Yarrowia lipolytica: one gene and its partners. The protein of the gene in region 3 interacts with the protein of the main gene of each other region in a pairwise test. Links are inferred from orthologs where the notes say so. Each region holds a gene or a part of one and is shown on either strand. Other genes may lie near its edges.

The links.
Region 1: the proteins of YALI1_B13886g (region 3) and YALI1_D21565g interact in binary tests that used the Saccharomyces cerevisiae proteins (3 or more experiments, as listed by UniProt). The link is inferred for Yarrowia lipolytica from reciprocal best matches to the Saccharomyces cerevisiae genes NCS2 and NCS6.
Region 2: the proteins of YALI1_B13886g (region 3) and YALI1_E23313g interact in binary tests that used the Saccharomyces cerevisiae proteins (3 or more experiments, as listed by UniProt). The link is inferred for Yarrowia lipolytica from reciprocal best matches to the Saccharomyces cerevisiae genes NCS2 and URM1.

Annotation. Positions count from the first base shown.
Region 1 is NC_090773.1:2,155,255-2,158,189, reverse strand, and holds YALI1_D21565g (uncharacterized protein), read right to left. Parts: upstream 1,674-2,935; coding exon 576-1,673; downstream 1-575. Other genes in the region: YALI1_D21553g (uncharacterized protein), read right to left, coding at 2,116-2,865. UniProt on the Saccharomyces cerevisiae protein: Plays a central role in 2-thiolation of mcm(5)S(2)U at tRNA wobble positions of tRNA(Lys), tRNA(Glu) and tRNA(Gln). Directly binds tRNAs and probably acts by catalyzing adenylation of tRNAs, an intermediate required for 2-thiolation.
Region 2 is NC_090774.1:2,330,389-2,332,210, forward strand, and holds YALI1_E23313g (uncharacterized protein), read right to left. Parts: upstream 958-1,822; coding exon 935-957; intron 887-934; coding exon 610-886; downstream 1-609. Other genes in the region: YALI1_E23302g (uncharacterized protein), read left to right, coding at 1-348, 428-538.
Region 3 is NC_090771.1:1,386,826-1,389,791, reverse strand, and holds YALI1_B13886g (uncharacterized protein), read left to right. Parts: upstream 1-1,111; coding exon 1,112-2,386; downstream 2,387-2,966. Other genes in the region: YALI1_B13915g (uncharacterized protein), read left to right, coding at 1-148; YALI1_B13888g (uncharacterized protein), read right to left, coding at 441-935; YALI1_B13828g (uncharacterized protein), read right to left, coding at 2,763-2,966. UniProt on the Saccharomyces cerevisiae protein: Plays a central role in 2-thiolation of mcm(5)S(2)U at tRNA wobble positions of tRNA(Lys), tRNA(Glu) and tRNA(Gln). May act by forming a heterodimer with NCS6 that ligates sulfur from thiocarboxylated URM1 onto the uridine of tRNAs at wobble position.

The DNA of each region.
Region 1 (2,935 bases), on a different chromosome or scaffold from region 3:
TTCCATATCATCCTATCTCCCGTCTCTCATGTAAGCCACCAAGCCACACATTGCAATAGGCATTCTTTGGGCTTATTCATGGCAAATATCATCATACGCCACCAATGCTGTACATTTAATCGGATGAACAATTTGATAGAGAGTGTGGTCTTTCTTTGGTGTCTTCTGTGCATCATATTGATATGTGTGCAACCTGATGTGCATGCTTCAGACGGAAATGACGTCATTCTGTTCACACCCATTCCTGAGCTGTTAAATTTCGTCTTCCAATCCCCTGTTTTCGCCATACTACCCTCCTTTCTCCACAATATGAATCTCATACTCGTGGCTTATCCCCACTCTCCGACTTTAGCCACACTTGTCGGACTCCGAAGAAGCAGAAATATGGGACGATAATGATTGATTGTTTCGTAATGTGGCTAATCCAGCTGTTCTGAGCCGTTCAGAGCTCCCTCTGCTTACGACTATGAGCTTAGCACGACAAATAGAGCACTTTTTAGATGCGTCTCGCTGGTGTTGATTCTTCACCCATCATGGCTACCCCATGTATCAATAAATAACTATGCTATATACCACTAAATACTCAAGGCCAGCTTCTCCAAGGTCTTGATGTTTTTAGCAGCTCCGTCAGCGCTGTCTCCCTCAATCTGCATCTTGGCTCGTCCAGCATTTAGACCCTCCAGCAAGACACAGGCCTTGCAAACGGCATTATGAGATAAATAGCCACACTTGGTGCATCTGTTGGAGAGCCCAAGGCTGGAATCAAATGCTAGAGGTACCGAACAGCCACCGGAGGGGACAGGTTTTTCCTCCACCTTGGCCTTCACAACCACAGAGCCCTTGCCTTTCTTCTCCTTCTTCTTCTTGAGCACAAAGGCTTCTCCAGAGTGAATGATGTCAATGATGGTAGACGGTCTAATGGCCTCCAAATTTTTGATCAGCGTACGAGCCGTGCCCCGGAATGCCTCGGGAGAGTATGTGCACTCGGTGGAAAAGTAGTCGAGCTTCTTGTAATGGGCATAAAGCACAATCTCCTTTTCATATGCGTACTTAAGAGGCTTACTTCTCTTGACAGGAGAGTCATCTGAACCAGTCACCAGTTCGGTACATCTATCCAGACGAGCAGTATCGCCCCGTAACAAGTTCATCAGCACTGTCTCGGCCATATCGTCAGCATTATGACCTGTGACGATATGTGCGATTCCTAGCTTGGCACTACCTCTATCAAGAGCCTGTCTTCGAAACACTCCACAGTAGGTGCAGTTGTTCTTGTTGCCGATCTGGGCCACAATCTGGTCCATGCTCCACCCGTACAGCTCACTGTAACTGACCACCTCCAGATCCATGTCGTACTGCACCTTGTTTCGCTTCACCGTCTCCAGAGAGTCGTCTCGGTAGCCATGGATACCCTCGTCGATAGAGAGCAGCACAAAGTCCACACCATAGTTGTACCGCTCATTCAGCGTTTTCATCACGTGCGCAAGCACCGTACTGTCTTTGCCACCACTGGCTCCAATGGCCACCCGTTCTCCCGGAAAGAAGAGGTTTGATTCAACAATCGTGTTGTGGATTTCGGTCTCAAACACGTTGTAGAAGCACGGTTTGCAGATGGGTTGCAGCGTCTTGGGTCGCTTCAGCATGGCCTTGCGGCACTCGCACAGCACACACAGCATTTTTCCGATCTTCTTGTGTTGTAGAAGGAGAAACGGCTAATTACTCAGCATTTTTCAAAAAATCACCCAGGTTGCGTTTTATACGCATGTTAAATGCTTATTTAGTAAGTTTATTTATGGTGGTTGTGGGTTCGATCCGGAGCCGCGTCAAAATGTTTTAATTTTGATATAATTTTGATATAACGCGCTTCTCGCATATCTGAGGAGCTTTACTGGCTTGTATAACCAAATGGTATTGATTTCAGCCTCATTCGAATCTATATACATCTAAACACGTGTGATCGTACGGCGCTGTTCCTGTTTTTTTTTTTTTCTTTTGTTTTTTTTTTTGCGAATTTTATTTTTCCGTGGATCCACACTAAGGTTATTTTCGTGCAGGGTGGTATTGGTGACGGGTCCTGTTGAGCCGCTTAATTCCATCTATACCGTCAAACAAACGCCATCACTGCGTTCCTCTCGTTTCCAGCTCTTGATTCGTATCTCTAACGATCCGCATTATCGTCTGCATTCTTACAAACCGCTCCATATCGTGGCTTAAGCCACATGCACGCACACCAAAAAGAACATAAAAAGAAAGAAAAGAAGAAAAGAAAAAGAAGAAAAAAAACACCCTGGACGAGTAGATCTGTAATGACATGATGGTTGGGAGCTTTCCTCTTACTGCGTTCTGAACCCCACATCTACCACCATGGCGACCATTGCAATTGATAGCAACCCTTTTCAGTCTCTGAAGGCGCTTTCTGAACCCCACTTTGACACTGAGCGTCCTCGAATGGTCCAGTCTTCTCCCTACACGGGTCAGGCTCACCTGCTGGACCTCGGAGGGGTGCCCCAAAACCTCCATGAGATTGTGGTTGCCCTCCGGGACCTTTTCCGGGCCGTCAAGCCCGATTATGCTGTAGGTGACTACATCGAGTCGTTCCCGTTTGAAGACCTGACTCCCCTGGTGCCCGAAGGCGTCACTCTTCACTGCGTGGCTTTCCGATCCCGGCTGTTTGAACACGTGCGAACCTCCCACGATATGCGTCAGAAGCTCTCCGACCTCGACGAGTCTTCTCATGCCGAGGCTAACAACTCTGGAGGTCTGCTCAAGTACTGGTTTGGCGTGCCCGACGAGGCCGGAAACAATCTGGCCACCTGTGTGTGGATCAGCAAGAAGCACGCTGACGACGCCACCGCTCATCAGCGTCATAATGCCGCCGCCAAGACGGTCCGAGGCTGGTATGAGAACTGGCAAGTAGAGATCTACGAATGGTCTCGGG
Region 2 (1,822 bases), on a different chromosome or scaffold from region 3:
AGAAACACTCGCCACCAGATCATCCGGCTGGAAAACGACATTGAGGCCATTCAGAAGGAGCTGGAGGAAGCTGTTATGGGCCATTGGCAGAACCAGAAGGAGCAGACCAAGTCAAACGGTGATGGTACTGCTGTTACTACTAATGGCTCCGTTTCTGCACCTACCGCTACACCTACCGCCACGCGCAGCGACCACGTGGTCCCCTTTGCCGTCGTGGGCGTGGTGTCCGATGGCTCGCCTGCTTCTTCGGTGGGACTCAAAATCAACGACAAAATCGTACGACTGGGAAACGTGGAGGCTACTACTCCTCGTATCCCTCAAGCCTTGCCTCTCGCGGTTGTTGAAGGAGTGAGTATTATATTATGACATGGATGGGTTGGCTATGTGACTCTGAACAGGTTGTTTGTTTGTTTGTTTGCTAACACAGAACCCCGTGGATGTGGTGGTTCTCCGAGAAGAAGAAACTCTCACCCTCACGCTGCTCCCAGCCAAGTGGGAAGGAAATGGGCTTATCGGGGCGGCATTGAGACTGCTGTAAGTCGGTTCTTCCGCGACCCATGCTTATCGGCTCATTTTGACCCAGCTCTCTTTCTCTCCCCCTCTTTTCCTCTAACCTCCATGAAGAGTTGAGGCAAAGATGATGACATCTCGGGGCTGCAAAATGTACTGGTCTTCGCCCTCCAGCTCCCAGTCCGAATCGTTGATGAGCACCAACACCCCGGGACGCACACTTTCGTCCTGCAAGAAGATGTTTTTGCCCTCTTCTCGCTTGTGATCCGGCATCAGAGTCTCCACCATATGGTGCAACAGCCAATTGACTGAGGAGCCCTCCGGCACGTCCAGCACGTGCTTTTTGTTGCCGTCGAAGGCGGTTTCGAGCCCTCCACTGGGTTAGTTGACGTCGCGGGTGTTTCCTGCGCCTCTTGCTACTCACCTGAATTCCACAGTAATTTGCATGGTGTGCGGTTGGTATAGGCAAGAAGATGATGCATGCTTTTATTAATATAGGCACTTGATCTTGATTCTGCCTACAAGTAGATTAGGGTTACGACGAGGGGCATCTTTCTGTTGCTTTTGTGGCTAAAAGAGAAGTAGTGGCGACATCTGAACTGCTCCTTGATATATAATATGACTGATTAATGCATCATTTCAAATTTCAGCGTCAAGGCTGCCTTATTGCGATTGTTTTCGTTACTTATTAATATTCAACAAAAAATTGATATATAGTTATTTTTGTACTTGACATTTATAAAGTGTACTTTGGAGACGTGAGTTCAAATCTCACCGAGGACACAACTTGAAAATTTTGAGACAATTTGAGGGAAAAGATAAAAAAATTACCAAAATCGTCAGAAACGGTCAGAAACTTGTGAACTACTCAACCAATGCTTCATAAAACACTTTTGGTACTTCGACTCAACATGTAATTATGTAATTATACTCACACGTAACTAGATCCACATTACAACAGTTTTTCCCCTCTCACCTCACGCCCCCAACCCCTCCCACAATTACTAAGCAGCTACTCACCATTACTAAGCAGTCACATCATTACTAAGCTACCGTACCATTACTAAGCAAAAAACCACCATTACTAAGCAGCCACATTAGGTTGAAGTTATGGGGAATGGCGTCAGAACAGCAGAGTAAAACGGAGAGGCCTGCCATAAAATGGACTGACTATGGGAAATGTGGGTGTCACGTGAACGCCTGGAGTGGCTACCCAGCGTATGTGGTTCTTGTCTTTTTCCGCGCGGATTTTCCCCGTCAATTCGAAATTCCACGGCGTTCCATCAGCATCCACCAGTCACTTCTTGAGTCA
Region 3 (2,966 bases):
GGATCTGTCGCCTCCAGTGACCATCAAATTCGACACTTCGCGGTTGCAGTTCACTCCGGCTAAAGATAGTGCACGACGGGTCGTTCAGGGAGCTCTTCGGGAAGCTGGGGGGGAGCTGGATAGCGATGATTCCATGGGAAGTTTCTAATCGCTAAGTCCAAAAACGGGGCTTAGAGTCTATGAAAGAATGGATATATTACGCAGTAAATGACTCGTATAGAAATATCCTTACAGTAATGGTTATATGTGATCTTCCTATGATCTGGGCAAGGGCCTGGGCTTTGTGCGGTATTACATCGAGAGACCCTTGTGAAGTTTAGCGGACACATGATATTCAATCTGAGCAGATGCGAGACGTGATTCTCTCTAATCCTGATCAAACATCATTTTCAACCATCCTGATCATCTCTCCACGTGGTAGATCATCCATCTACGTCCACCTACACCATGTACGCTTCATATGGTACACAGACATTCCACGTTAATAACAATATATACAGGTACTGGTCTACCAGAGGAAACCACTCTTCTTGTCCTTCCGTCGCTGCGCCAGCTGGGTTAGTTATATTCTCCGTTTCAAAAATTTCGCCACTTTGCTTTTTATTACTCACCCACATCTTCTTGCAGTCCCGGTAAATCTGAAAGTACTCCTCGCACATGGCCTTCTTGTAGTTGTTTCGCTCCAGGCAGTTGAGCGACATTTTGGAGGCCTCGGCACATGGATCGTAGTACTGTGAGTCGGCCTTGGCCAGAAACTGCACCCGGTTGGACATGGCAGTGGGGTCGTCGGGTCCGTACTTGAGTTTTCCGTCCCGACCCTCCTTGGTGAAGTCCACGCCGTACTTTTGACGCAGCTGTTCTTGGGTCATGGGAGTGCCATCCTCGTTCTTCATGAACTTGGGTTTGTTGTCTTCCGAATTGCTTTTGTCCGCCATTGTCTTGATATCGAGGGTATTGAGAGAGAATCCACTGTAGATAGCGGGCAAGGGTTGGTATGGAGGCAACAAACTCTGTTGTGCGTCTGGGATGCACAAGATGAAATTTCCCAATATGATTCCGAATCGTTGGATGAACCACACTTGAACCTCAAACCAACGTCAAAGTATTTATCATGTCCGCCGAGTCCACCTGCCGAAGATGCGACGGTCCAACGGCGATCAAAACGCGCCAGGCAAACTTTTGCCAGCCTTGTTTCATCACCTTTATTCAGCAGAAACAGAGAAAGGCCATGGAGGGATGCAAGGTGTTGTTTGCACGACCAGGCTGTGTACTTCCTCCAGCTATTAACATTCTGGTGCCAATCTCGTTTGGTCAGTCGTCACTGGCTTTGCTCGACATGGCGCACGCCCAGCTGGAAGAACAGGCCAAGACGTATGAAAACGCTGCAGGCTTCACTCTCAACGCCGTGTTCATCGACTGTTCTGAAGCTGATCCACTGGAAAAGGAGCCCAATCAGATCATCAGCGAGCTGGAGAAACGGTTCGCACATGCCAAATTTACCTGCATTCCGCTTTCAAAGGCTTTTGAGGGCGCTTCTTCTGTCACTCTTAAACACAACAGAGATTACACCTCGTTCGTGTCCGGTATATCCGAGGAACCCACCTCTGTGCAGCAGCTGCTTTCGTGTATCGGCACAAAATCTGCTCGAGAAGACATCATTTCTGTGCTCCAACGCCATCTCATCATTGAAGAAGCTAAGAAGCAAAATGAATCCCTTCCTACAACCGTAGCATGGGGACACAATGCTACCCGGTTGGCAGAACTAACTCTCAGTCTGACAATCAAGGGGCGAGGAAACCGAATTCACGCACAGGTGCTCGAACATAAGAACCCCAAGGACTCCATTTCTGGTCTCCCCGAAATCCATCCTCTTAACGATGTGCTTTCCTACGAGATTCCCTTTTACAACTCGTTCAGAAACGTGTCTGATCTCGCTGTCGACACCGTCTCAAAGCCCTCGCAGGTGACCAAGAACCTGTCGATAGATCAGCTCATGCACCAATACTTTGAAAATATCCAGACAAACTTCCCCTCTATTGCATCGACAGTCGTGAGAACCGCTGCCAAATTGGATGACCCTAATGCTGCCAAACAAGGACTCACTCCCTGCCTCATCTGTGCATCCCCAGTTGACCCTAACCAGTCGCTTGCATGGCTCACAAACATCACCGTCAATGAGCCTGCTGCCCCCGAAACAGAAGAAGAGGAGGAGCTAAGTAAAAAGGCGCATATGGAAAAATCCCAGGAAAAGACGGGTGATGCGGATAGACATCTGCCAGTACCCAACCTTTGTTACGGATGCATCATCACTATTAGAGACACTGACAGCTTCACTTTTCCTAAACGAGCTTCCAAACAGGATATTCTCGATGAGTTTACGCTCTAAGCCAGGAAGGGGCTTTCGTATCATAACTAATTTATTGTATATTGCACAAGACAGTAGAGGCTACCCGATTGGTGCAGTAATTACACATATTTCTGATACGTAGACGACTCTACAATACAGACGAGCCTTTGCTGTATTAGTTAATCGATGCCTGTAGCCTTACTAACAAGTTGAGTAGCTCTTCACAAGTATCGACAATAGAAATGTCCGCAGCATTGGTTGTGTTTGCTGAATATGGTGACTCGTTCCATCAGGTCCTCCAGCTAGATAATATACTCCCGCGCTCATTAGTTTGCTTGATCACAAGCTGTTCCATAATTATGTAATCCGTTATATAAATACAAGGACCTGCCTATACGCTACACACTGATCATAGCTAAAACAACTCCTTGAAATGCTCAATCATGAACAACGTTGAATCACTCTTGTGATGCACGTCGGCGATTTCCCGTTCGCCGGACGTGGCCCGTGCTAAAGTTGGGGCAAACACCATGGCCAGGTTCTTGTTGCTCATCAGATTGGTCTCGGCATGTTGAGTCACCCGGTTGAGATGTGTGCATAGTCGAGCCAGACATAGCGA